Linked DNA regions of Rattus norvegicus. The protein of the gene in region 1 purifies or fractionates together with the protein of each later gene. This does not show direct contact. Links are inferred from orthologs where the notes say so. Each region holds a gene or a part of one and is shown on either strand. Other genes may lie near its edges. The genes, in order: Zmynd8, Rbbp7, Csnk2a2, Tspyl1, Chd4, Hdac2 and Kdm5a.

Region 1 (3,594 bases):
ACTCGGTAAGGGATACTAATTTGTGAGAGTAAGATAATCTGATGTCACCCCCTTCTCTCTTTGTTGGGGGTTTGGTTTTTTGTTGTTTTTTTAGTGGTTTTGAGACAAGAGCTCATGAAGTCAAGGCAGCCCTCGGGCTCCTAATCCCCCTGCCCCTACCTCCCAAATGCTGGGGTTACCACACTGGCCCCTGCTCTCACCGCAGCTCCTTCTATGGCCACCTTACGGGATTAGCAAGTGTCAAGCATGGTGGGGGGGTGGGGGTGGGGAGTAGGTTGTGTATTTTTAGAATAGGGACTTTGAAGTCTAAGTTCTCGTCTTTAAAAAAAAATTGCCAGTGAACAAGGAATTTTTGCCGCAAAGCTCGACGCCACGGTCCCACCCAAGGGAAGACAGACACTAAATTAAAACAGCACAACCATTCTCATATTCCTATAAAAACTCTATTTTTTTTTTTTTTTGAAGTTCGGAACAAGAGAGCGAGGGGGAGCTTGCACAGGGACACACTTTTATTTTATGACGTGCTCACTTCAAGCAGGTTTTAATGGGCAGCTCGGTGAGGTGCACCTGTCATCCCAGCACACGGAAGACGGAGCAGGAGGATCCTCCTGACCAAACCAGTCTGGGCCATCACTTAAGTCACCCCTTCATTGCATCTCTTCTCAGATCCTTGGAGACGGCACATTAGAGATCACCAGGAAACATAACTCCAGTCAACACTGCCCTGGTCACTGCTCTTGTCCTACTGTGGGTTCTGACTCATTCTGTTCCCAACCGAGCCTACACACAGCAGGGCCTCCGTGTGTAGCCAGTAACGGTTGCCATGGTAAAGGTGAGGAGACTAAGGCATAATAAACACATTAAATATGTTCCCCAAAGCCACATGGGCTGAGTGGGACTCCTACAATTATAGACAGTGACCTTGAAGGAGGTCTGGTAACTGGGCGGGGGACCCATTTTGACCTTGATTTGCTTAACATCTAAGTTAAGCCTAACACAGAGGTATCAAAAACTAAACTTTCAACTACAGCGTAGTCACAGGGCACTGTTCTGAAGAGCCAAGAGGCTCTGACATTGGACGAAAGCCCCTCAGGGTTTGTGGCCAGTTCCACCCACGTCTAAGAATGGCCGCCGCTGGCCTTCGGATACAGCCCTCATCTCTGGGGTCTGGCGGTGCCTGCCTGCTTGCACCTACGGTTGAGGCATCCAAGGACGCCAGAATGCACCAAGCGGCCTCCTACCCAACTCTCCCAACTGGGGCTGACCTGTGCTCTTATCAAGGAAGTCCATGGACTCTTCGCTTGCGCTGAAGTGGCTGGATGGGGCCTTCTTCTCGGGGTCCTGCTCCACATCGGAGCCCGTGTGCACAGAGGAGTTCGTGCTGGTGGGGGAGCGAGGCATGTCGGACAGGGAGATCCTGCGGCCCGCGCCCCCGCTCAGAAGGGGCTTGCTCAGAATGATCTTGGGGGACGCCGTCATGTCAAAATTGAGCTTCACCTTCTCCTGTTTGTCTGTCTTGGCAGTGCCGGCGCTGGGATTGCTGGGATCCAGCAGCATTTGGTACTGGCTATTGGGGGTGTAGGGCGTCCTGAACGGGGAGTAATTAAAAACCCCGAACTTCTTCCGTATGTTCTCCACGTAAACTTCCATCTCCTGCATGGCGCTGTTGAAGATACTCTTAGTCTTTTTCACAGAAAAGGGGATTTCTTTTGACATGAGGTAGCAATTATTGACTGGAACCCAGGCTCTAGGATGGCAAGAGAGAGAGAAAGAGAGAGAGACACTCTGAGTCAGCGTCAGTCATTTCCGAGGTAGTTTACTTTTTTTTTTCTTTTTTAATTTTCTTAATGCAAATCAAATTAGCCTGGTGGGTGCCTGCCAAGATTCTTAAATATGGGGCCTCCCTTTTTTTAAATAATTGACTTGTTTTGAATGGTTAATGAATGATCCACTTCACAGAGGTATTCAGGATAGAACACACACGAACAACAAAATTCAGCCAGAGATGTGAGCGGGTTCCACACACTCAGCCATCTTAATCGCCCAGAAACAAATGGACGGCTCAGCAGGGGAAGCCGGCTCAGCAGGGGAAGCCACAGCTGCCAAGCCTGGAGACCTGCGCTGGCAAAGCCAACGTGGAGAGAGCCACCTCCCTCAGGTTGTCCCTGGGCCCCCACACATGCGCAGTGGCACTCACATGCGTGTGCAGGCATGAGCGCGCACGTGTGCACGAACACACACACACACACACACACACACACACACACACACAGATGAGTAACTAAATGAATATAAATGGCAGAAGTAAATACAATGGTAATTCCTTCAGTTCCCTGCTCTTTCAGGGTGAGGAAAAGAGTCCCAGTCCTCCACGACACATCTGAGGAGGGGTGTGTTTCCTGGATCTCGCTGGGCAGCACATGCAGGCGAACACTTCAGTCGTACTCGAGACAGAATCTCACTATGTTGTCTAGGTTGGCCTGCAACTCAGGGTGCTCCTGCATCAGCCTCCTCACTGTCTGGACACACGTGGCAACATTTGAGAGGGTAACCACCCGGAAAACTCTTGATACTAAGTAGACTTTGGCTCTGGGGTGCACGCTCTCCACAGACCTTGCTACTTCGGGGAAGGCCTGTCCTTCTCCATCGACCCCCACACCCCAGGACGTTTTGCAGAGACCCAGAAACCAAAAGCAACAGTGGTGCCTTTTCCAGTACCGGCAACCTGCATGACCCCGGGAACGACTGAGAACACCCCCAGCACCACTCCTGTGGAGAAGGGACACCAGAACACCTTGCTCATTGTGCACTCCCGACTCTACGGCCTCAACTTAGTTCCTAACTTTTCTATGGAGACGTTTAAGGGTTCCTGGACCTCAAACCAAAGCCTGGCATGAGTCCATGGGATGTGGGAGGGGTGGGGGAGAGAATAATCTTGCTTCGATAAGAGAACCATCTGCCCAGCTATGTCCAAAGTGCCTACTTAGGCTGCCCAGTCTTCCTGGTCTTTGAAGACAAACAGTGGGTTTCAGCTACAGCATTTTGCACCGTGTCACCAGTGCGCACTGAATTCCTACATCTGAAGAAGAAATGGCCCACAGGAAAGGAGGTCTGTGCAGAGGCCGAGTTCAGCATGAAACCTGGCTGCAAGGAGAACCCCTAAGCACACAGCTGATCTCGGGGTGCTATAAGTGAGCAGCTCCCCTCCTTGTGTGTGCTAGGGACAGCCTTCTGCGGGGACTTGAAGACCCTTATATCCAGACAGGTGGACCCCACCAAAGCTGAGCAGAAACCAAATACCTACCAGAGACAGGGCTCTGGGCTAGGTAAGGAAGAGGCCAGAGTCACTCGGGTCCCCAGCCAGCAAATGACCACAGCTGTGCGTCAGCACCAAGAGCCTCCCCTCAGCCAAGGGCCACAGGCTCAAGGCCCTTGACCCACTCTAGGCTGGTATAGTTTCAAGGTCCTAACTGTCCAGCCAGCCCTTGGTTCCCAAGTCATTTAAGGGGCCTCAGTAAGAATAAGCACTGTGTCCTCAAAAGGGAATGAGATATTTGTTGACACAGAAAGCCTGAGGGAGGGGCCGCAGCGGCC
Region 2 (3,594 bases), on another chromosome or scaffold:
AATGAAAGGTTCATAGGAAATTGTTTAAGCACAATATAGTGTGTTTATAATATTCTCAGCAATTAAGAATGAAAAGAAAAACTATATGCACCAGTACGGAAGGTGAGATTTTTGTTAATAATCAGATCTTAACTATAAAAAGGCTAATTTTTTAGTTTTTTTTTAATACACAAGGTAGAACAAACTATTAACTTAGCATGGTAAGCAATCCATTATATTGAAAATGGGCTTTGAGAATAAATTTCATATAGCAGGTAACCTGTATTTTGGAGAGTTTCTTTTTCTCTTCAATTTGTGTTCTACTCTGACAGGGTAAAATCGGTTGGGTTGATGCACTAAATGACTTGTGATTTTTAATCCTGAATGTTTTGTTTGTCTCCTTACATTAGAATTTGGTGGCTTTGGTTCTGTAACAGGAAAAATTGAATGTGAAATTAAAATTAATCATGAAGGAGAAGTAAATCGCGCTCGTTATATGCCACAGAACCCACACATCATTGCCACAAAAACACCATCTTCTGATGTTTTGGTTTTTGACTATACAAAACACCCTGCAAAACCAGGTATGTATTAATAAAGCCAGGCCATCACACATTTTTCTTGATTAGAGATAATATTTTAAAAATACTTTAAAGTACTGTACTGTTAAGACTGGAAAATCGGCTCAACAGCAGTTAGAAACTCTGTTGGCTTTTCTATAGGATGTGGGTTCAATTCCCAGCACCCACATGGCAGCTCATAGGCCTTTGTAACTCTAGTTCCAATTCTTTGGGCCTGTGGGCACCATGTATGTATGTGGTGCACAGATATTCATGCAGGTCAAACACTTGTATGTGTTTTTGTAGAAAATATGGAAGTCATTTACTCAAAATAAATTTGTAAAATCTAAAGTAGTCTGTATAACTTTTAAAACTTCACAAAGTGAGGGATTTCATAACCACCTCTAAGCTTGGTGATTCACTAGAACCTGATAGCAAATTATACTTGCAGATGTGGTTTACTGAAGCAAAGGATCCAGAACAAAAGCAGAAGAAAATAAAGATATCAATCAGATAGGCAGTAGATAGGTCTCCACAGGGTACGAATACAGGCTTCTGAGTACCTCCTTTCTGGAGTCAAACAGGAGATGGTTTTTCTATAGCAGAAAACTAAGTGACTGTCCAGAGAAGCCTGTTTGAGGCCCAAGGTCTGGAGTTCCTAATGGAAATCTGGTCACAAGTTCCATATGCACTCATGGTAATGAAAACCAACAGCTTCAATAGTGAAGTTAGATGAATCCTTGATAAACTGTACTACAAGAAGTTGCTAAAGCATGCTTTCATTGGTCTGAGCATGTCAAATTCTGAAAGGATGGCCAAGGGTCATCCATGGTTTCAGGCTACCCAGGGTATGTAAGGATTGAATGACCAGATATGCTGGATCTATTTCTAAAAATTGCCTTGGGATGAGATGATGGGGTAGCTACTACACAGATTTATGGAACAGCTATAGTTGTCAACATTTCTGTATTAGTGATAGTATTGAGCCCAAAACCAGTCAATGCGCTTGTGGGTTCAGTGTAGAATTGCTATTTGATTCGGTCAATAATAAAAGGAGTCTGAAGCTTGGTTCTTAACCAATTCTGATAAACGGATCACTTAGTGGTTAATATGTTTCATTTTCCTCTTAGATCCAAGTGGAGAGTGTAATCCTGATCTTAGATTAAGAGGTCACCAAAAGGAAGGCTATGGTCTCTCCTGGAATTCTAATTTGAGTGGACATCTCCTGAGTGCATCTGATGACCATGTAAGAGCTGATATTCTTTCTTAATATTATACTGAGCATAAAATTGTCTTAGATCTAAGCTACAGGATCTCTGTATAGATTGAAAATTTTCTAAGATGACATAGATTGCTGTGTTAACATTTTCCTGAGCTTTAAAACAATTAGTTTCAGATTACTCTGTTAGAGCCTTAAGATTTTACAAAGCTCTTTTGAAGATTGGAGGATTACCATTGTTTAAAAGAATACTGCTAGATTTACCTTTTCATTTATTATTTGTGTAAATTCCAACAGGCTCTATTTCAAAAGTTGTGCATCTGTTGCCACTAATTTTAGATTATTTTCATTAGGTGTCTGAAAATGAAATTCCACAGATGTTAAACAATTACTCCTTGCTTTCCTTTTGCTAATAATAGCTATAGCTAGCTGATTATGGCCTATGGTATCCTAAAGTGGGCTTAACACCACCAGATTCTCTGCTTTGGGTGTGCCTCTCACATCCAAATAAGAAAGAGATTAGTCTTTTCTGTAACAGTCTTGTCACTATTGCACCAGTGTGCAAATCTTATCTTGCCTTAGTATGTAGAGTTTATAGCTGAATAAATTGTTAATGACCTCTCTACCCCAGCTACCAACATTGCACCTTCTGGTACCAGGAAGGGTGCAGCAAGTGGTAAAAACATGTAACTGCCCTGCAACCATAGGGTGTATTGTATTCAATAATAGGATCCTAAAGATCTAGTTCTGATGGACAACCACAGTAGCAATTGTCTATTTTGCTTTAGGGAGATGAGCATGTTCCTAAATAAGATGTTACCTTTTAAATCTGGTATTTTCATAGCCTTTGTTCTTTTTTGTTCTCCCTTAGACTGTCTGCCTCTGGGATATAAATGCAGGACCAAAGGAAGGCAAAATTGTGGATGCTAAAGCAATCTTTACTGGCCACTCAGCTGTTGTAGAGGATGTGGCCTGGCATCTGCTGCATGAGTCCTTGTTTGGATCTGTTGCTGATGATCAGAAACTTATGATGTAAGGTGGAAGGTTCAGTGGAACCTTGATGGGTAATCTGAATGACAGACCATTAGTGATTGGCAGACTGAGTTCTGGCTCTTGAAAGTTATGTTACAGTTTTAAAATGAGAAATAGCTTTTTGTGAGTTATACTTGATAATTAGCTGCATGTATGTAGTGAACAGTTTATTTCATTAAAAATGAAGAAAAATTGTTAAGAATGTGAAGAAAAAGGCTTGAATAGTGATAAATTCTAAATGTGATCCAGTGTTAACTGATTAGAGCTCAGGGAGGAAGAGTGTTTCCATTAGATGGTGTGGCTATAGAGCTGCATTAAAATAACTGAACTCATGCTTTATAAGTAACTATTGTACTACTGAGACTAGGAGAACAATGTATCGAAATTTGACAAGGCTAATTATAGGTAAAATAAGGAAATGCTGTAGTCTGTATTTTGAGTACCTTTAAGATGGTATATAATTAAGATAGAAATTCAATAAAAGGAACTAGACTAATTGTCCTAGTTATTTGGAGGTTTAAAACATGTCATTTAATGGACAAAAGCCCAAATTGCTGTCTGTGTGTGGTTTGTGTATTTGTGAATGGGTAAGCATATCAGAGCTTCATATAGAAAGAAAGAACATCTACTGAGCCAAAGCTCTTGGGAGCTGTAGGTGCTGTATGTATGCCTTGTCTTTTTGTGTTTCAGATGGGACACCAGATCCAATACTACTTCTAAGCCCAGCCATTTGGTGGATGCACACACTGCGGAGGTCAACTGCCTCTCATTCAATCCCTACAGCGAGTTTATTCTGGCAACTGG
Region 3 (3,594 bases), on another chromosome or scaffold:
TATCATTCATGAAAGTCCATGGGCCTCTCTTTACCTTGGTATTATGATAACGGTGCCTTAACAATAAAGTAGTCCATTTCCTTAGCTCAGTCTCTCTCTTGACCCACTTGAGAGAAAAGCCCAGAGAAGAGGGTGCTGCAGGGCAGTCAGGTTACCAGGCCTGAGTCTTGTTCTGTTAGCTGAGACCTGGGGGAATAACTCCTCGGCTGCTGACCCTCCTACTTAGAGGCTTCCTGGGGGTCAGTGGACTTCCTCCTCAGTCGGCAGGCGGAGGTCAGAGAGTTAGCATGTGCTGTACACTTACTGGTGTGTCCCTTACTGTCTGTCCTGAGTGAGTTATAAATGTCGTGCTTGCCTTTTCAAAACTGCTTTTCTTTATTAACTTCAGACAGGAAATGATACACATACTGTGAGTGTTTCTAAGAACTTACTTTTCCATCTTGTAGGTTGGTGCCTTAGCAGTTAGCAATCATTGCTGGATGAGATCAGCTTTCCCCTTTGCTGAGCCAACAGCTCTCTCTCTCTCTAGGAATGAGATCTATTAGGAGAGTTACTAGCTCTGAGCTGATTTGATTCTAAATCTTAAGGAAGTGGGAGTGGCAATAGGAAATGGGAGCCAACAGTTTGGAAGCAAGTTTGTAACTTAATGTCAGTGAGCTAGTTCATGCCCTAAGATACAACTACATCTAAATTGTGGGAGAGCAGGCGTCTAGCTACTTTCTTTCACTTTTTCCATTTGTTCATGGTCTGCGGCTGTTCAGAACCATGACACATTTGGCAGTAATCCAGTAAAAATGCATTTATTTTTAAAATACTACATGAATGTTAAAGTTTGCTAAATGCCCTAGATATAACTACTTAGGGAGATTGCCACATAAGCTATAAACTAAAATGTTTAACCTGAAAGATTATTATAGGAAAGCTCACTTTCTCTCTTCTAGTTAAGCATATTCTTTAACACAACACAGTACACAGCAAACAATCTATGCTGTTGCCTTAACATTGATTAAAGTTGTATTTATTATGTTAACTTCAAAAGGAGTCTCACTTCTGATTACTCTTGTGTATTTAAGCCAGTGAAGAAAAAGAAGATAAAACGAGAGGTTAAGATTCTGGAGAACCTTCGTGGTGGAACAAATATCATTAAGCTGATTGACACTGTAAAGGACCCTGTGGTAGGTGCCTGGTGGCTGGGGCATGTGCTAGTGGATTGGGGTGGGCTGTTTTTTTTTTTTTTTTGTTTTCTCGGAGCTGGGGACCGAACCCAGGGCCTTGCGCTTCCTAGGCAAGCGCTCTACCACTGAGCTAAATCCCCAACCCTGGGGTGGGCTGTTTAACACCCAGGACCTTGTATGGTGCTGCATAATGGGCTGGTGGCACTGATAATTACTACCGAGGGGGTTTAAAAACCATGCAAGAGCCACGCCCAGTGGTGATAGCCCCGGGAAGCCCTGCTTTTGTTCTGTTTTTGAAAGCTGCTCACTGCCAGTTTGCATTATCTTACGTCACTCTAGTAGCTTGATCTTGGGAGTATCTATGTTGATTCTAGTGTAGAGAACTAAGCATGTCTCAGATCGCTAGTCCTTTGAAAAAGAAGCCTTACTGTTTCATATTGCTAGTCTTTAGTTCAGCACCTCATGTTGTATACATACGTATAAAAATATCTACGTATTTTTACAACTAAAATGCTTCATTTGGGGCAAGATGGCTCAGTGGGTACAGGCACTTGTCACACAGGCCTGGTGACTAGAGTTTGATCCCTAGGAACCATGTCAGAGTAGAAAGGAAAAGCCTGCTCCACAGAGCTATTCTCTGACTCCACATATGTGCCATGGCACATGTGCCGTCATACGTACGTGTATATACATATACACAATAATAAAATAATCATAAAACAGTCTCAATTTCTACCTATCTTAGGGTGCTATTCACTTTTTCCTTCCTCTAAGGAAGAAGCTGGCAGTATTTGCCTAGGCTTTGATCCTTGAGACCACCTTCGTGTCATTTGTGTCTTCTTGCTGTTGTCCACCTGCTCTGTCTGATTATCCCCCTGTTCCCCAGGAGAGCTTCATGTAAGCTCATCTGAGAAGCAGGTCTTTGCTTCTGCATGCTGAGGACACCCCCATACTCTAACGCAGGCCAGGGGCTAGGCTAAGTACTTGGCTGCATTGCACCACTTAATCCCTGATGATCCAGGGGCAGGGGCTCGTACTGCTCTTGTCGACATCTTACTGTAAGGAAACAGAAATCAACAAACATTAAGTCATTTGCCCACCTGCACGGTGATAATATAAGATAAGAAAATATTTTTCTTTTGGAACTTGATCAAGCCTGAGAAAGGTGGTTATATACAAACTCGTAACTGATTGTCACTAAATAATATATCTATCCTGCTTAGTTCAAATTGATTACTAGCCCAAAATTACTTAATGTTCAGGTTAAAATGGGTTTGTCCACTTGAGAATATAAATTCACTCGTGTGTGTGTGTGTGTGTGTGTGTGTGTTTGTTTTAATGTTTGAGATAAAAATGGATATTGCTCACTTAAAGAACACACACACCATATATATATATAGAAAATGTAGATTTAAGGATATAGCTGGGGGTATAGCTGAGCTGTCTAATGGCAGAAGTAGGCCTTGAGTTGGATCCCTAGAACTACATAAATTAGGCAAGGTGATGTGTGTTTGTAATCCCAGCACATAGAAAATGGAAGCCAAATGGATGGTCAGAAATTTAAGGTCATTCTCAGCTACATAGGGGATTTAGGGCCAACCTGAACTGGACACCCTGTCTGTGTGTGTGTGTGTGTGTGTGTGTGTGTGTGTGTGTGTGTGTGTGTCTCTCTCTCTCTCTCTCTCTCTCTCTCTCTTACACACACACACACACAAACACACACACACTTTAAGAGATGGTATAGGGGGGTTGGGGATTTAGCTCAGTGGTAGAGCGCTTGCCTAGCAAGCGCAAGGCCCTGGGTTCGGTCCCCAGCTCCGAAAAAAAAAGAAAAAAAAGAGAGAGAGAGAGAGATGGGGGTTGGGGATTTGGCTCAGTGGTAGAGCGCTTGCCTAGCAAGTGCAAGGCCCTGGGTTCGGTCCCCAGCTCCGAAAAATAGAAAAGAAAAGAGAGAGAGAGAGAGAGAGAGAGAGAGAGAGAGAGAGAGAGAGAGAGAGAGAGAGAGATGGTATAGGGACTAAGCCCAAGGGCCTTGTACATAGAAGACAATAATGAGTCAGTAACTGGTGAGCATCCCCTCCCCCTACTTTTTCTTCTTTCCCCTCTCCCTTCCTCCCTCCCCCCTCAGTTAACTGAAGTTACTGATACCTGGCTTAGTATTTGTAACTTGTTAACGTGTGTGTAATATATGAGTTAAGCAAAAATTGAAGACTTGAAAGTGGTTAAAAGCACACGTTATCTTCCAAAGAACCTGACTTTTATTCCCAGCACCTGTGTCAGGTAGCTCAGAGCCACCTGTAACTCCAGCTCTAGAAGGATCCAACACTTGGCGTCTGTGGATAGCCATACTTACCTGCACATAGCAAACACATACACATTTAAACGTTCTTTTCTAATTGATGTGGGTTTGGAATGGCTA
Region 4 (4,368 bases), on another chromosome or scaffold:
TGAATAACACATGAAAATACCCATGGAGGTGAGTTGTGAACCTGAAGAAGTGAAGGCGTGGTACTACTGCACAAGTTGTGTAGGAAGATCTGAAATCACAGTAATTAGTTGAAACTGTCAACCTTCGAAAGCAACAAAACAATGAGAGTAACAGCCACTCTTTAAGCAGGAGAAAGTTACTGTGTTCTCTTGATACCTCTGGGATAATGTCAATTGTGTTCATTTAAGAAATCTGATAATTCAGCAATCTTGTTAATTATACAAACCCATTTAGGCAGGCTTATGGCCAAGATGCGAGGGGAAAGAAAGCCATCCAACTGGGTACCATGCTTTTATTTACCATCATGCATACAAACAGCAACAAATACACTCCGAGTACAGTGCTAATCTGACAAAGAACTTTTATAACTATGTGCAGTTTAAGAAGAGACTATCAAGTCAATCAAGTCACATATTTACTTTTCCATAAGTCAATAACTTGACACATTTGATAAAGACCAAATTATCCAAGCTGTTTCTAAGAATTTGGATTAATATTGAAAACTGTTATGAATATTCACTTAAGTCTATTGCTCTTCCAAGTGGTTTCAAATGAATGCAAATGAAAGTGTTTAAATTTCTCCAGTAAGTAGAAACAAGTAGCATTTTACTAAATGTTGGTAAAATATGAACACAGTATTACCCTTTCACTTACATTAGATCACATATAAAGAGAGAAAAATAACCCAAACGTGAACTGCTTCTTTAAAGAAGCGTTGTCTAGGCAACATTCAACACTCAGAGAAAGTATTTTTCCTGAGAAATTCTCTTCCCATCACCAATGACTGGCCAAAATATGAAAGCTCTCATCCTGTCTTCATCCTCAGCCCAATTTTTATCTGACTTACTTTGACTCTAAGCCTTTTCATTTTCAGCTCACTTTTCCTGCTTAAGGTACCCATCACAATCTCTTTAGTTCTTCCATACATTATTAGGAAAAGCTCACCTGTTTCCATCTAATTCTGTCTCTGTATTCTGTCTCCATATAAGCTTTTTAGGACTTGCTAGCTAACCAGGCTGAGGAGTGGGTAAGAGAGGAGACAAGGCAGAGTTCTGTGACCTCTTTTACAGAGCATCCTCTCAGGAAATGCTGAGTATAAATGAACTACAACTCCTGATCTTACAGGTGTTTTTGAACTACTTTTCTTTAAAATAACAGGAGAAAGGTGGGAGAGTGAGGGTGAGGAGTACTGGCAAACACAATGAAGCCTAGAAAAAGTCACAAAATGACACAGAAGGTGGCCCACTCCTGCAATGACCTTTAGGCCCAGCAACTGTCTGAAAACTTTTTGCCCACATTGCCACGTGCTGAACAGGTAAATAGAAGAGCCCCCAGATAAAGCAAGACATCTAGGTGGCAGTAAATGGGTAACACTGAAAACAGCGTCCACACAGTGTAAAGGCAGTGCGATACAAAGTTTCACTGTTAAGCTTAGAAAAGGTACAAGTCAGGGCCACGAACCGGCAGATACTAATTCAGGACAGCATGGGAGCCATGTGAAGGCAGAAGCATGCCCACAGTCTTAATCTCGAGGTGAGGAGACTATCCAAACAGAAGATGCTGAAAAGTCAGGAGGAAAGAAATCAAAACACTGCGTACCCGGTGCATTTGCTCAAGCACAGGCGAGAAGGGACTTATTCCAGCCAGCTGCATTTTCAAAAGCAAGGTTAGCCTGACTGGAAGCCAAAAGGCCTGGGAATCTCCACTGGTTCCCTTATTGGGCGACGTCGGGGTCTACGGATTCCTTCACGAGACAGGTAGTATTGCAGTGGGTTTGGCCACAGGTCCTCTTTGATAATCTCGGCGATCCTGTCAGATTCTGGAACGCTGTGGTCTGAGAACCAGGTGAAGAAGCTGCAGATGAGGTCTCGGTTTCTGCGAATGAAGGACTGGGGCTCATGCCCACTCCGCCATATGATTGGAGTGGAAAGAGACACCACTCGGCCGGATGATCTCACTTCATATTCTTTGACAATCAGCTTGTTTCTGAAGTAGGGGTTTCTTCGGAAAAAGAACTTGAATTTGCAGCCAGTCTTAGGATGCCTCAGTTCCTTCACCTCCAGATTGGTTATGTACCTTAACATCTCTGCATCCTGACCCCTAATCATGGCGGACAACTGAGGGTGGTTGCGGAAGGCGGTCATCCAGAAGCCTGGGATATTCTGAATGATGTAGTTCCTTCGCTCCAGATAGTGTCGCCGCATCCGCCCAAACTTCTGCTCCAGATGTTGGAAGGCCCTGTCGGCCTGAGCATTCACGGTGTCCAGTTCCAGCTGGATGGCCTCCAGCGGGTTCGTGCGAAGATCGATGCCCAGGTGCCAAGGCCCTGCCTCCTCCTGCGCCTCCCTGGCTCCTCCACTAGCCTCCGGCATCTCCATTTCTTCACCCGCGGGCTTCTGCTCCACCTCCATCACCTCCTCACTCCCTTGCATCGCCACTTCTGACTGCTCTCGCGCTGCCACCGCGACGGTGGCCCGTTCAATCTTCACGTCGTGGGCCCGGGCCTCCGCTCCCCGAGTTTCTAGGGCCTTCTCCGCATCTTTCGGTGCCACGAACGCCGCCGCCGCGGGGCCCTCGACAACAGGCGGAGTCTCTCCTTGCCTAGCTGCGGCCACCCGCACCTGGGGGCCAAGGCCCGCGACACCCCGGGGCGCTGGGCTCCCCACGATCCCCGCGCTGCCCTCACCTGTCACCGCCTTCTCGCCGAGCAGCGGACGCCAGCCTGGGGTCCCCGGGATAGTGTCAGCATCGCAGAGGCCGCGGTGGTCGGGCACAGGGGTCCCCTCGTCCGGCTCCCGGACGCTCATGTCCGGTCCGGTCGCACAGACCTCAGTTTACAAACCCTCAGGGTCCACGCAGCCCCACCTCCGCCCCTCGCTGTTTCTAGGGCGGTGACGTCAGGGCCGCAAGTACCGCGAGAGCCGGCAGCGCACCTGATTGGTTCCTCAGCGAGGATTGGCTTCCGTGTTTGTTTGGCTTCTGTAAACGTAGCGGTTTGCGATTGTCACGTTTATTTCGGTAAAGGAATGTCAGTTATCCTAGGAGACTGAAGGCAGTGGCGGGGCTTTTGGAAACGTCTCCCGCATCCCGGCTGCCGCCATGTGTGTCTGGGTGTCTGTGTGTCTGTGTGTTTGTGAGTGTGCGCACAGCATTTACTTTGCTTACTGTCCACAGCAAACAAGTTCATCCACTTTCCACTGACGTGAGAAGGTAAAAATACCGCCGGATATTCGAAAAAGCTAGGAGCCAAAATGTCTGTTTTTAACCAAGGTGAATGCCAAGGCACCCCCAAACCCCTTCACAGAACTGAAGAAATAATGAAGTCTGGCCTGGTGTGATGGCCCTTGCCTGGCGACTCGGTGCTCCGGTGCTGAGGCTCCTTGATTTGGAGGCTAACCTGGGCTGCATACACGTTGGCTCAAAAAGAATAAAAAAGCAGTTCTATTCTAACCTCGGACGTTACTGGGAACGAAGCTCGGTGGGTTTGGTTTTGAGAATTCCTGTTTTTTTGGGGAGATGTTTTGTGGTTATAATTAACGATTGTTTATACGGGTGCACTGTGATACACATCACGCTGTATAGTTCTTATAACAATCTTGTGATGTATTAAGATTTTTTTTTGAACAAGGAAAAACTGGGTCTCTTACCAAAATAACATTAAAAATGACAGAGCAATGATTTGAGCCCAGGAGATTTGATTCCGAGGCTCTTTGGACAGGATGTGACTTCACTTTAAGATATAAGCATTAACGCATAACTAATGTCAAGTTGGTACATATTTTCTCCCATCACCTTTCCTCATGAACAAATAAATTAATATTTAAGAACTTATTTCCTTTCTGTTTTGAGAAAAAGAAGGTAGTTATTCATGGTCCCCAAATTCAAATTTATCAGAACAAATGCCACCTTCTGAATAACAAATGTTTCCAAAAGGCCGTTTAACTCCTTTCGATAAAGTTCATAGACAATGTAACCCAGCTATAAACATAAATAGCAAATTTAACAATTTTACTATAAAGGTTATTGTAGTGGTGGCGATTTTAGTATAGCAAAGGGGTCAACGACTTAGATTATTATAAGAACTATATGACGCGGTGTTTATCACACAGTGGTAAATTCACCAATAAGAACATGGTTAGAAAATTACATGCTTCATAAAAGTCAGTGTGGATGGAGAGTAACACAGATATCTATATCAGCTCTTCTGAAACTGTGACCCAATTTTCGTGAAATTCTGGGTAAATCATGCCCCCGCCTCTCCCCAGTGCACTGCTTTTTCCACGCAGAGAAATGAATTTCCACTGCTAAATACTTGCCAGGCATGTTAT
Region 5 (3,594 bases), on another chromosome or scaffold:
TTGTGTTAGACACAGGAAGGTGGAACGAGCAACTACAAGCTCCCGCTCCCAGGTGTGAGCTTTCCTCGGGCCCTGCTTGCTCCTATCGGCAGACATGAAGCTCTGTGGAAGAAACTGCTGGCGGGATGGCGGGTGTCTGTCACGAAGCTCAATTTGCTCCATCCCTCCACACTCACTTTTGCATAGGGCTCAGCTCCACACGCACAATCAGTTCTGTCTTGGAGGGCATGTTCTTGAAGACATCAGCTTTGAGCCGCCGCAACATGTGAGGCCCCAGCATGTCGTGTAGTTTCTTAATCTGGTCCTCTTTGGCGATGTCAGCAAACTCTTCCAAGAAGCCTTCTAAATTGCTTCAGGGGGAAAAGAGTTGTTAGAGAAAAAGAAAAAAGGAAGAAAGGAAAGTAACACGGGAAGTGAGCAACAAGAAGAACAAACATATAGCTAGGAACAGACAGACAGACAGACAGACAGACAGACAGACAGACAGACAGCCACACTTACTGGAACCTCTCGGGGGTGAGAAAGTTGAGCAGATGGAACAATTCCTCTAGATTGTTTTGTAATGGAGTTCCAGTTAGCAACAGCTTGTGTTGGAGTGAGTAACCGTTCAAAACTCGGAAGAACTGGTGAAGAGAAATGAAATTCAAGAAACGAAGGCACCAGAGCACCAGAAAAATCCCAAGCTGTTTCACTGTCCAGTGAATTAAAGCCTCTCATCCCATGGCTGGCATCCTTAAATGCCTGGCCAAAGAAGGGGCTACCAACGGTCAAGAAGAAAATAAAGACCACTTTCCCCTCTTCTCTACTTAGGCTTCTTTCAAAAAGATGACTCTCCCAAGGGACTAGGACTAGAGGCTCTCACCTCCCACTCCTCACCTTAGACTGGTTGTTCTTCAGCCGGTGGGCTTCATCCACAATGAGGCAGGCCCAGTCAATAGAACCCAAGATGGCCATATCAATGGTGATCAACTCATAGGATGTCAGCAGAACATGGAATTTCACAGATGCTTCTTTCTGCACATAACGATAAGCCGGTTACTCACTACTGGTCCACTCCTCAGCACAACTGGGACAAGCAAGCTTTCCCTGCTCCCCAAGTTCTCTTTCTGCCTCACTCAGAGACCTGGTAAGGCAGCAAAGCAGCCCACAGCAGTGACTCCCTGTCAAGTTTCCTCTTCCCTCCCACTGAAATACCTTCATTCGGGAGGCTTTCTTGCCACCACGAATGGCATTATCTTCAAAGGAGAACTCATTTTCCCGGATGATGGCACGGCTGTCCTTGTCACCCACATAGGTCACCACATACATATCAGGAGCCCACATCTCAAACTCTCGCTCCCAGTTGATGATGGTGGACAGAGGCGCGCTCACTAAGAAGGGGCCTTTGGAGTGACCCTGGAAGGAAACAGGCAGAGTCAGGGCTAAGAGCCCCCTCCCTGAACCCCAGACTCCCCCTCCTCCCTGACCCACAGTGAAGCTGACACTGGACACCTGTGCCTCTGACGCCCCTTCATCTGTTACAAACACCATTCACCCCTCTTCCCAAAAGGCAGTTGCCCACCTTGACAAAACCAAACTCCTCCACCTACACAAGAATTTCCTACCACTAAGGCCTTTTACCTCCAGGCACTCAGCCTACCAGGGCTCTGATCCTGCAAAATCTCCACTGTAGGATCTAGAAAGTGGCTCACTGTTTAAAAGCACTAGCTGCTTTGCATAGGTCCCACGTCCAGATCCCAGCACCCACATGATGGCTTATAGTCTGTAATTACAGTTTAAAGAGGTGACCCCTCTTCTGGCCTCCCCAGGTACTGCACATAGGTGGTGCACAGCCATACTTATGGACAACATACCCACACAAAGTAATTAGAAAAAGAAAAGAAAAAAGGATTTGTACTACAGAGCTGTCTCTTCCTATCCCTCTGCAGTATTTCTTTCTCCCTTCCTCCCACTCCTTAAAACACAAGAAAATATAGTCACAAAATACCCACTCCAGACACTAGCGTCTCCCAGCCTCTTTACCTCCTTGTACAGGGAATAGAGGAAGACTGCTGTCTGCACAGTTTTCCCAAGGCCCATTTCATCAGCCAGGATGGTATCGGTACCCTGAGCCCAGGAGAAGCGTAGCCAGTTTAAGCCTTCCATTTGGTAGGGGTGCAGGGTTCCACCTGTGGCATCCAGGTACTCCGGCTGTCGCTCATACTTCACTGTGGGCTGAAGGAGAAGAGAGGTCAAAAGCTGGTAAAGAACCCCCTTCCTGGAAGACTGCTTCCTCCTACACGAGTCCTAGTGGATCTTTTTTTTTTCCTGAGAGCTAAGAGAAACAAAACAAAATAGCCCTTAGGGAAATAAGGCATGGTAAGACCCCCTTTTAACCCTAGTACTTAGGCTGAGATAGAAGGATTGAGTTCAAGACTAGTCTTTGGATCAGGATATACCGTCTCAAAATGTAACAATAAAGAATTTAGTTGCCTTGGAGTTGCCACAGAATCCACCAGGCCATAATGGACAGATCAGATCCAAACCAATGGTCACAGAGAGTCCCAGTTAAATCCAGTGGGTCCCAGACCAAAAAGGCATGAATGTGGGAAAGAGATCTGCAGGGAAGGAAGAATGGGGTGGCTAAAGGAAGGAGGGAGGAAAGAGGGGGCACAGGGACAGTAAGCAGAAAGAACTGTGGACATGTGTGAGCCTCAATACACTTGGGAAAAGGGAGTGATGGGATCCTCACTGTCACTGCAGCATGTGCCTTAGCATCCTTCAGAGGACAAGGCAGCTTATCTAGGCCTCAGGGAGACCTGACACAGACCACTATTCAAAACATGCAAGGCAAAGAAAGGCTCCGGTGTGCCAGGACACTAACTGCTGTCATCGTTAAGACCAGCCAGGTAGAGGCTGGCGCACGTAAGCAATCAAAGCACTTAGGAGGCGGAGACAGGAAATCAGAAGTTAAAAGTCAGCCTGAGCTATATGAGACCTTGCCTTTCTCAAATACATACATGCATACGTTTGTACGCACGCACACGCACACATACACAAGCCCCTTGTATATAAGACCACCTCCTAGTGAACACTGTCCTAACATAAAATATCCCATCTGTGGGTTTTTCCTGATGCTTTCTGAGAGGACAATCTAGATCGTCTCAGCTAGAGTCATCTACAGGTCCTGGAGCTTCACCATGACACTGCAGCGTACTGCCCACACAACAAATACACCATTCCTCTTCCACCCAAACTCACATCAACAGTTGGGGTCTCCGGAGGCCTTTCCAGTTTCCGTAATTTCACCTTCTTAAGCTTCTTGCCAGGTCGCCCTTCCTCACCCCTCATTAACTCCCTAGGAGAGAAAACGGCAGAGCTGCCTCTCGGTCCTTCTGAAGGAGAGCAGTTCCCCTCTTCACAGTCACCTACCTGTGGTTCCAGTAGCTCTGCTTGAACAGGTCGTAGTCCTGTATCTCCACATCCTCACTCTCCCAAGACGCCTGATCGTAGGGTAAGTCTCGCCACTTTATTAAATAGTGAACGTGGCCCTTCTTGTCCACACTATGATGTCAATAAAGAAAAACTCCTCAGAACCAGAAAGCAACTTCTCTC
Region 6 (4,368 bases), on another chromosome or scaffold:
CTGAGTAACAAAGCATAAAACAATTTGTGTTTAATTATATAATTATGCATACATTTAATTCTGTTATAAATTATACATTAGATGGCATTGCATGATTGGTCCCAAGCTTCACTCCAAACAAGGCATAGTTCACATTTCTAGATGAAGTATTAAAACCATGAGCATTGCAATTAGAACCAAATGTGGCTCCATCTGCTAAATTACACTTAAATAGAGAAAAAAAACAAACAAAAAACCCCCCAAAAGCAAAAAACCTCGGTTTAAGGTCAGAAAGTATACTAGTGTGTACATAATTAGCTTCAGATCATTTGATGAAGCATTGATCTTTAATAAGAGATTAGCCAAAATTCAGAAATGTGTTTCTGGGAATTAGGATGAGCAGTCAATCAATAGTCGTAGTCTACTAAGAACTCTGATTTCTCTTCTGAGGATTAGGGATAGCTCACATGCCCCTATCCAAAAGTTCACAGAGCAGTGGCACAGAGATCTAACAGGTCCAGTACTGCAGACAGTAATGAAGACAGACATGTAGAGAATTATTTCTGTAGTCTAGCATGCTATCACATGTCACATGTTAATTAGCTTAAGACACCAATTTAAGTGTTCTTTTCCATTTTTTGTTAACTTTCTTTAATGCAAATATTTGGAATGAAAATACGTCCATCCTAAAAACAAGCAAGAACCAGACAGATTTTCACAGATAACCCAGCAGATTTCCACCATTAGTTGTACAGTTGGTTACTTACATCTAGGTAAAGCTGTTGCATGGGCGTAAGTTAAAAATCACATGACTGAAAAATACCTCCATCCACCCGTCTATCCCATCCCTCAGTAAAGGCTCATCCCCACACAGGAACCCGGGAAGAAGGCGCTGCTCAAGACACACTAGAGTACTGTCTGGTTCTCCATCAGACCCGGTCAAGGTTACATGGGATTTAAGAGTTCATAGCTGAGGAAAGAAGCTGACAGCAGAAGAGACTGAGCTGTTCCCCAACAGTTCATTATTTCCCTGACTCTACCCTCTAGCAGAGCAAACCTTTACTTTGGAAAGGCTGTAATTGTAATTTTTCAAGTTAATTCATACAGTGCATCCTTTCCAATGGATCAGAGAATGCAGGTCAGGGGTCTGCCATGAATCCCACTTCATAATGGTTAAGTCATGTCTAAGTTGTCATGCTTTCCCATCTCTGCTCTCCACGATAGTGTAACTTTTCAATGTAGTCCTCTCAAACTGCCAATTAAGCCAGTGGCACTCGCCTTTAATCCCAGGATTTGGGAGGCGGGGGCAGGTTGATCTCGGAGTTAGAGTCAGCCTAGTCTACATAGGACAGTTTCAGGACAGCCAGGTCAACTTATCGAGAGCCTATCTCAGAAAACAAAACAGCCATTTAAAAGCTGTTTCTATTTTGACCTAGCTTTCTGTCAGGTTTTTGATTTTCCAGCCAATGACAGGTGACTATTTCATTTAAAGCCTGTATTAAAAAAGATTCGACCAAACCAAGAAAACAAACGGTTATTTGCAGCTAAAGTCGGTTTCATTCGGCCTGCTTTTCTACACTGTAATCTACCTCTCCAAGACTTCAATGCACCAACTACAGAAAACGCTCCCAATTTCGTATTGCTTTGTAGAGATGAAGCGTTTCGAGTCCGTGAGGCTAGCTAGTTCTGTCCAATTTCCTTATTACTTCTCTCAATAGTTATCAATTAATGTTCTGGGTGAAATCTGTAAGGCAGGGCACTACTCCATCTAGTGTAATTGGACCCAGAGACTATGACTGCTTATATTCCAAATTAGGGAACACGTACAGTCACCTTGTACCGTCCACTGCACTCTGAGCTCAGCCCTACCTGTATGGAATATGTAGTCTACTTCTCAAAGTTTGCTGCAGCAGGGTCCCCACCACACTTGGACAGACTTCCTAACCAAGATGCCCATGCTCCTTCCTAAGCCCCAGAGCAGAGTATAACTGCGGATCGAACAAAGACCAACAAAGAAGTGGGTGGTAATAACCTCCCATAGAGACATGCCAAGACCCACCAAACAAGAGCAACTCCACGCTCCCTCTCTCCCATCACTTCCCCACAGGCCTACCTACTTCCAATTCAAAACCCTTTAATTGTCACGGAGGAAGTGCAGCCCTTCCATCCGAACCCTGAGAAAGTGGAGCTTGAAGAAACCCGACGAACAAAGGCGAGGGATGGAGTCCACGCAAAACACCAGCGAGACAGCGCCGCTCTGCGAACTTGGCCCCCGGCCAGCAGTAACTCCTCCGCAGCTCCACCCGGGCGCCGGGGTCCCGGGTGAGGCTGGAAGCGCAGCGCCGACAGATCGGGGGCGAGAAGGGGGGACCGGGCGAGCGGGGGAGGGGACAGGGACGCAGGGCGGAGCTCCAGGACGCCGGCTTTGTGCAGTCAGGCCCGGGGAGCCGACAGGGGTTCCTCCGAGACCGGTCCCAGGCAGTGCACCCCAAACATACGCGTGCCCGAGCGGAGGACCGGAGAGGAGCGAAGGCGGGCGTCCCCGAGTAGGCGGGCGAGCGCTGGGTAGGCCGTGTCGGTGTCCCCGCGGGCTGCCACCCTCGATACCCCGCCGCGTCCGACCCGCAGCCCCGCTGCAGGCTCCCCGGCCACTTACCGTCATAATAGTAGCACACTTTCTTCTTGCCGCCTCCTTGACTGTACGCCATGGGCTCCGGCCGCCGCCTCCTGGCTGCGGCTCCTCCTCCGGCTGCTCTCGCCCGCCGCGGCCCGGCGGCCAGACAAGAGGGCTGAGGGAGACGGCGGGCGCGGCGGCCCTCGCAGCAAGGACAGCCCGGAGCGGGACGGCGAGCGGGTGCCGGGAGGGCCCGAGATCGCAGAGCGGGGTTGGCAGCGGCGCCGACGCGCGACACTCGGCAGGGGTAGGCCTCCGGGCGGCGGGGCTGCGAGTTGGGAGGAACCACTGCGGCCGCGCGGAGGGGGAAACACAGCTACGGGCCGGAGGAGAGACCGGGCCGGAGTGGATGCCACCGGTCGAGGCTGCAGCAGTGCTCCGTATGTCTTATCACACACACAGTCCGGAGGTGCGCACAAGCCGACCTTGGCCCTGTGCTCAGAGTCCCGAACGCTCTGCCACCACGTCCCCCTCTCGGTCTGGCACGCACTGGTTGCACCGGGGCCGAGCCTGCGCACTCCGCGCCTGCTCAAACGGATCCCGGGCAGTCTAGACCCCTCCGCCAGGGCTCACGCCTCTCCCCTCCCCCACCGCCGCGACGCGCCTGCCCGAGCCCGCCACGTGCCGCGGGGACTCCGAGGGGAACCCGCTGGAGAGCTCCCCAGGGCTGCCCCCGGGCTGCCTGGTGGTCGGATATTCCCACGCGTTCTAATTCTCCTGTTCTCTCCTCCCTTCTGATAACTACTCTTGAGTTACAGAGAGGTTAATGGCTGAAGGTATCTCCTGGGTTTAATAAGCATTTCTTGGACTCAAGCATAAGCGCGGTTCCCAGCACCCAAACCTGTTTATAATAAACGCCATTTAAAGGTGTCAAAGGTGCCGGGATGCACGCGCCGTGCGCATCTCCTTATGGGTGCGGGTAAATGAAGGAGCCCTCAAGTGTGAGTCATCTGAGGACCGAACGGGTGTCAAACTTTTCCAGACTCCACGTGCTTTGTCTACTGTATCAGACTGTCAGACAATCCAAAAGGATGGATTTAAACATTGGAGTCCCTGTGTTTTAATAGCTTGACGTTTATTGAGCACCAGTCTAAACCAACCTTCTTAAACGTTACGCAAAGAAAGGATGGGAGCTGGCTGTCAAATCCAACACTCACATATCTTAACCGTTATTATTTACAATTCCGGCTACATGCGCACACCGCTTCCTTCCGTAAGAGGAGGGGTTGAAGTAAGAACCATACTGAGTCATTAACAAAAATAATTATTTTCTACCTTGTGACCCCCAGGACTCTCCATACTTAAAACACCAATCTTCTAGACATTACTCCAAGAGACTTAAAAATCACTCCAAGATACCCCTCACCACATCCACTTCTCTCCCAAGCCTGTACTTTTAACAAGACCCTGGGAGATTAACACGGTAGGTTCAGGGACTACAGTGTTCTCCCATGTCTGTTTCCCGTGCTTTTTAATACCAAGTGTCCTTTTAGTTCAGCATTTAACATGTTAACTGTTGGCCGTAACTCCTCAACTGGTCTCTCAGTAGGACACTTTCACAAGAGGATAAGTCGATTTTTTTTTCCCTGAACATAATCTAGTCTAGTGCCTGTGACTTCCAGCAAGCCATTTGAATTTTTTTTTTTGTTTAAGTGCTTTTCACCAATAAAATGAGAGGCTTTCTTATATGACTATTAAAACCTTCTTGGGGCTGG
Region 7 (4,358 bases), on another chromosome or scaffold:
GGAAGTAGCTCGACTGGTAGCACTTGCCTAGAGTCTTGAAGCACAAAATTCAATCCCTATCATCTATGAACCAGGCATGTGTGCACAGCTGTGATCCCAACACATAGGTGTGAAAGCAGGAAGGCCAGGAGGTCCACGCAGTCAGGGACTATGTATCAAGATAATTGACATCTTGGACCGTATGAGATCTGCTTTTTAAAAAAAGAAGGAAGAAAGGAAAGGAGGGAGGAAGGGATTTCCACTTTTCTAAAGGTAAGCACTAGAATCTCCACTAAGAAAATATGTTAAAAATTAGTTTTCAGGGTTGGGGATTTAGCTCAGTGGTAGAGTGCTTGCCTAGCAAGCACAAGGCCCTGGGTTCGGTCCCCAGCTCCGATAAAAAGAAAAAAAAAGAAAGAAAGAAAGAAAAAATAGTTTTCTGCTATCCTATTGAATGAAGAAGCAAAGAAAAAAGGGGTAGTAACTACTTGAAACAGTCTTAAAAGACACGTTCCTCAAATACCATGTAACTATTATTCATTAAATCCCAATTAACACAAATTCTGGGTCTTGGTACGACCTTTTAAAAGTTCTCTATCTAAAATCCTAAGGTAATTAAGAAAAGCAAATTATTTTTTGGCAAAAAATAAAATCCTAAGGTAAGCCATGAGGAAACTGGAGCTATATAAAACTATGGTAGAGCATTTGCTTAGTGTGTGAGAAGCCCTGAGTCTCAAACACCACCACCACTAAGGAGGGAGAAAAAAACCCAGAAAGCAGAAATATTGGTCTAATACTCACCTCAAGTTCATTCAGGCGCTGGACTCTGGGAGTGAATCGGAAGGTTTTTACTTCACAAGCAAATGGAGGTTGCCAATCCTAAATAGAAAGAATTATTCTGGTAATTTAGCATAGAGCTGCCACAAATCATAGACTATGTAAGTCTTTATTATAGAGACAAAAAAAGCCAATGTACTTATAGTTTATATTTTAATATTACTTGAAAAACAATTTTCAAATCTTACCATCTCAAAATATAGTTATACTCTCCAAGGTTATCCAGGAATACAATGAGCGAGCTTGTCAAATGCAAAACAGTGTCCAATAAACACACAAGTTTACCAAGTAAAACTTAAAAAAAAGTCAACTGACTTGAGTATGGCACATGCCTGTAATCCTAGTACTCTGAAGTAGAGGCAGGAGGCTTAAGAGTTCCAAATCAGCCTAGACTGCACAGCTTGACCATCTTAGCAAGGACAAAACTCATTTGAGTACTTGCTAGGAAAGAAATCCGTACTGTAGAACGTTTGCAGCCACAAATTTGTTCTACTTTAACAGGGCACAGGGATCTCATTTAAAAAAACATCCCCGAGTGCTGGTTTTCAGCAACATTTGAACAAGGTTTTTCTCCCACGTGACTGAGGATGGACGCAGGGGCCTTGCAGCACTCTCCCTCACTAACAATATCATTTGAAAGGCACCTAATGAATTAAAAAAAAACTCTTCTGACCTTGAGCATATCACTTAACCTCCTAGGGGATTAATTCCACTCATTACGGGGTATCATCTGCGTTCCTAACCGTACAGTGAGGTAATTAATCAATTTATACGCAAATTTGATTATTTATATTACAGCTTAGGAATCTTTATCCCTTGCTTTCTTACATCTAGAGATTTCAACGTTTTCTTACATCCCCATTTATTGACCAATTCTTTCTAAACATCGACATTTTAAAAAACAACTAAATAATGCTCTTTATCTTCCTCGAGGATGCCTTTCCTGTTGCAGTAATAATTAGCATGGGGGTTCTAGTCTAGTGACATCACCCTGTAGACAACCTGAGTTCGGATTACATTTTAAGAAACCCGAGTAGTGGCCTGCAAAGGTTTGATAAACTGAGCTTTAGCAGGCTTGGACACAGAAACAGTCGACAGAAGTGGGATTTTTTTTTTTTTAATACGCAAACAGAAAGGCTGTGCATGAGCGAATGACAAGACACTTTAAACGCCTTTCCCTAGGAAGGGCCTGAAGCCTTTTGTTATCCTTACCTCCAATCCACACTACAATATCTGCGCCCAAATAAATTCTGAGAGGAAAAAGTCCCAGAGATTCCTATTTCTTTCTTTTGAGGGCGGACCTGAGAGCTGGTGAGATGCCTGACAATCTGAGTTCGAGCCCTCCTGAGACCCACAACGCAGGAAGAGAATCGACTCCTACAAAATGTCCTCTGACCTCTCAGCGAACGCATACGCATCCACAATAAAAGGTAAAAGTGGACGTGAAACTGCGTTCAGAACCCAGGGCAAAACATCCTCAAAAGTAGCGTCGGGACATCAGGAGATGAGGGAGGGGCCCCATGAAAGCACAGAAGAACCGAAATAGGAGAGCTACAGCAAGAGTTAACGACCCTCCCGGCCGCCCCACACCCCCTCAGGCTCCGCTACCTTGGGTGGACGGATTTTGCAGATGCCAGTTTTCTCAGCCAGAGGCCGGATGCGACCGATAAAACTTAGCGGGTCTGTGAACTCCTCCCAACTGGGCTCAAAGACCGGGCACTCGGGCGGCGGCACGAACTCCGCCGCGTAGCCCCCCGGGCCCACGCCCGCCATGGTAAAAGCCAGGGGGCCCTGAGGTGCACAAGCCGGGAAAGGCTGGGTGACGGCCGCCAAGCCCTCTCACGTCTCCTCACAGGGGCCGCAGCGCATCTTCTTAGGAGAGAACTATTCCTCACAGAAGACCCAGAAGCGCTTCCTCCTGTCGTTTGTTATTGTTTCCTTCAGGGCTTTTCCTCTCAGGGACAGGACGCTTCCGGAAGTTAACGTACTGCTAAATCAGTCCGCCACCGCAGGAAACAAAATCCCACCGCCGCCACGTCTAGTCGGGTCTTCTCGCCTTCCTCCCTTCCATGACAGCCGGCGTGCCTTTTTTTCTCAGCTTGCCGGTCAAGGTTCTGCACTCTCCGTCCACTCTGGGTGCGTGGCCCCTGATGGCTCCGCGACCTCTCCTCGAGAGGCGAGGAAGAAGCTACCCCGCAAGGTGGAACGCGCTCTTCCGGCGCGCGGAGGAATGTGTAATGCCTCAGAGAGCAGAGGTAGTGCTTCCGGTGAGGTGGTTCCTGTTCCTCTTTGTGTAGTGGGGGTGGGGACGACACGAAAACAAGGTGGGCCCCTCTCTGGCTGCTCTGCTTTATTTGTTCTCCGAGACCTGTTTTAACCCAGTTGTCTACGTTTGGACAAGTAACTAACCCTTGACAGAATCTCCCGTCTCTGTTTTCTTCTTTCAAATGCTAGTCTTGTACGAATAATTTCACTCGGTCGCTTTCATACGGGTCTCTCGCTTCTCCGTGACCAATTGGTTTCGGTCCAATTCCGTCATCGTATGGGCCGGCCTTAACCAACACCAGCTGCGAATTGCTTTTCTCACTACACAGGGAACTATATAGCTCCTGGCCTTGCTCTTCTAGCTGTTGGTAGCGGTCCTGAAACCTTATTCGAGAAGTAAGCAGGACCTGAAAACACCTACTTTGCTAACCTTTTCAGTTTGCTATGAAACGGTCACCTTGTTAGAAACCGCTACGTGTAAGGTCGGGCATGGTTACGCAGGCAGAGAGTTCCAATCAGCAAGGGATGTTTAGACAGGAAAGAAAAAAAGCGATGTTTCTGGTGTACGCTCCTACAATTCCCTTATGCGTTTAAGCCTGACTCTACAAGGTTGAAGGCAAGAACCGACTCCAAAAGTTATCCTGTGCCCTCCACATCCATACGCCTACAGTCGTGATATGTGGACACGTGGTTTAGGGGCAGTCCCAGCTGCATATGAATTTGAGGCCTGATTAGGCTACAGAAGACCCTGTCTAAAATAAGAAAACTCCCTGTGTGCTATAGATTCTGGGGAAGGAGATGTAGAAAGATCACCATAAGGCCTACCTGGTATTACCGAGTTCCTGATCAGTCAAGAATACACGGGGAAGGAGGGCTGGGGATTTAGCTCAGTGGTAGAGCGCTTACCTAGGAAGCGCAAGACCCTGGGTTCGGTCCCCAGCTCCGAAAAAAAGAACCAAAAAAAAAAAAAAAAAAGAATACACGGGAAGGGACAGAACAATGGCTCAGCTGTGAAGGGCACTTGCCACTAAGCCGGAAAATCGGAGTTTGATTTACTGGAACCCACGTGGTTAAAGGAGAGAACTCCTGAAAGAGGTCCTCAGACCTTGTCACGGGTCCACACACTTAAATATACATATTCACACATTAAGTAAAGAAAAAAGTGAACAAAAGTGGGGAGGGTGAACTACGTAGTACAACCCTGTCTCAAAAAAAAAAGGTTCTATTCTGCTAGTCAAATTGAACCCAAGTCCTTGAACATATTAGGCAAATGATGT

The links.
Region 2: the proteins of Zmynd8 (region 1) and Rbbp7 purify together in Homo sapiens (affinity purification with mass spectrometry; 3 studies listed by BioGRID and IntAct, with this or other methods). This does not show direct contact. The link is inferred for Rattus norvegicus from reciprocal best matches to the Homo sapiens genes ZMYND8 and RBBP7.
Region 3: the proteins of Zmynd8 (region 1) and Csnk2a2 purify together in Homo sapiens (affinity purification with mass spectrometry; 6 studies listed by BioGRID and IntAct, counting the BioPlex papers as one, with this or other methods). This does not show direct contact. The link is inferred for Rattus norvegicus from reciprocal best matches to the Homo sapiens genes ZMYND8 and CSNK2A2.
Region 4: the proteins of Zmynd8 (region 1) and Tspyl1 purify together in Homo sapiens (affinity purification with mass spectrometry; 4 studies listed by BioGRID and IntAct, counting the BioPlex papers as one, with this or other methods). This does not show direct contact. The link is inferred for Rattus norvegicus from reciprocal best matches to the Homo sapiens genes ZMYND8 and TSPYL1.
Region 5: the proteins of Zmynd8 (region 1) and Chd4 purify together in Homo sapiens (affinity purification with mass spectrometry; 7 studies listed by BioGRID and IntAct, with this or other methods). This does not show direct contact. The link is inferred for Rattus norvegicus from reciprocal best matches to the Homo sapiens genes ZMYND8 and CHD4.
Region 6: the proteins of Zmynd8 (region 1) and Hdac2 purify together in Homo sapiens (affinity purification with mass spectrometry; 4 studies listed by BioGRID and IntAct, with this or other methods). This does not show direct contact. The link is inferred for Rattus norvegicus from reciprocal best matches to the Homo sapiens genes ZMYND8 and HDAC2.
Region 7: the proteins of Zmynd8 (region 1) and Kdm5a purify together in Homo sapiens (affinity purification with mass spectrometry; 3 studies listed by BioGRID and IntAct, with this or other methods). This does not show direct contact. The link is inferred for Rattus norvegicus from reciprocal best matches to the Homo sapiens genes ZMYND8 and KDM5A.

What each region holds. Positions count from the first base shown.
Region 1 is NC_086021.1:174,987,360-174,990,953, forward strand, and holds part of Zmynd8 (MYND-type zinc finger-containing chromatin reader ZMYND8), read right to left. Parts: intron 1,748-3,594; coding exon 1,266-1,747; coding exon of another isoform or gene 1,192-1,265; exon of another isoform or gene 425-1,191; intron 1-424. UniProt on the Homo sapiens protein: Chromatin reader that recognizes dual histone modifications such as histone H3.1 dimethylated at 'Lys-36' and histone H4 acetylated at 'Lys-16' (H3.1K36me2-H4K16ac) and histone H3 methylated at 'Lys-4' and histone H4 acetylated at 'Lys-14' (H3K4me1-H3K14ac).
Region 2 is NC_086039.1:35,549,521-35,553,114, reverse strand, and holds part of Rbbp7 (histone-binding protein RBBP7), read left to right. Parts: intron 1-389; coding exon 390-563; intron 564-1,669; coding exon 1,670-1,785; intron 1,786-2,629; coding exon 2,630-2,790; intron 2,791-3,480; coding exon 3,481-3,594. UniProt on the Homo sapiens protein: Core histone-binding subunit that may target chromatin remodeling factors, histone acetyltransferases and histone deacetylases to their histone substrates in a manner that is regulated by nucleosomal DNA.
Region 3 is NC_086037.1:9,572,316-9,575,909, forward strand, and holds part of Csnk2a2 (casein kinase II subunit alpha'), read left to right. Parts: intron 1-1,073; coding exon 1,074-1,175; intron 1,176-3,594.
Region 4 is NC_086038.1:39,635,545-39,639,912, reverse strand, and holds Tspyl1 (testis-specific Y-encoded-like protein 1), read right to left. Parts: upstream 2,879-4,368; 5' UTR 2,848-2,878; coding exon 1,708-2,847; 3' UTR 319-1,707; downstream 1-318.
Region 5 is NC_086022.1:159,594,737-159,598,330, reverse strand, and holds part of Chd4 (chromodomain-helicase-DNA-binding protein 4), read right to left. Parts: exon of another isoform or gene 3,544-3,594; coding exon 3,412-3,543; exon of another isoform or gene 3,338-3,411; coding exon 3,241-3,337; exon of another isoform or gene 2,215-3,240; coding exon 2,023-2,214; exon of another isoform or gene 1,396-2,022; coding exon 1,195-1,395; exon of another isoform or gene 1,015-1,194; coding exon 877-1,014; exon of another isoform or gene 624-876; coding exon 502-623; exon of another isoform or gene 351-501; coding exon 177-350; exon of another isoform or gene 1-176. UniProt on the Homo sapiens protein: ATP-dependent chromatin-remodeling factor that binds and distorts nucleosomal DNA. Acts as a component of the histone deacetylase NuRD complex which participates in the remodeling of chromatin.
Region 6 is NC_086038.1:42,101,652-42,106,019, reverse strand, and holds the start of Hdac2 (histone deacetylase 2), read right to left. Parts: upstream 2,894-4,368; 5' UTR 2,688-2,893; coding exon 2,636-2,687; intron 1-2,635. UniProt on the Homo sapiens protein: Histone deacetylase that catalyzes the deacetylation of lysine residues on the N-terminal part of the core histones (H2A, H2B, H3 and H4).
Region 7 is NC_086022.1:155,236,763-155,241,120, reverse strand, and holds the start of Kdm5a (lysine-specific demethylase 5A), read right to left. Parts: upstream 2,886-4,358; 5' UTR 2,590-2,885; coding exon 2,425-2,589; intron 859-2,424; coding exon 781-858; intron 1-780. Other genes in the region: Ccdc77 (coiled-coil domain-containing protein 77), read left to right, coding at 2,886-3,083. UniProt on the Homo sapiens protein: Histone demethylase that specifically demethylates 'Lys-4' of histone H3, thereby playing a central role in histone code. Does not demethylate histone H3 'Lys-9', H3 'Lys-27', H3 'Lys-36', H3 'Lys-79' or H4 'Lys-20'.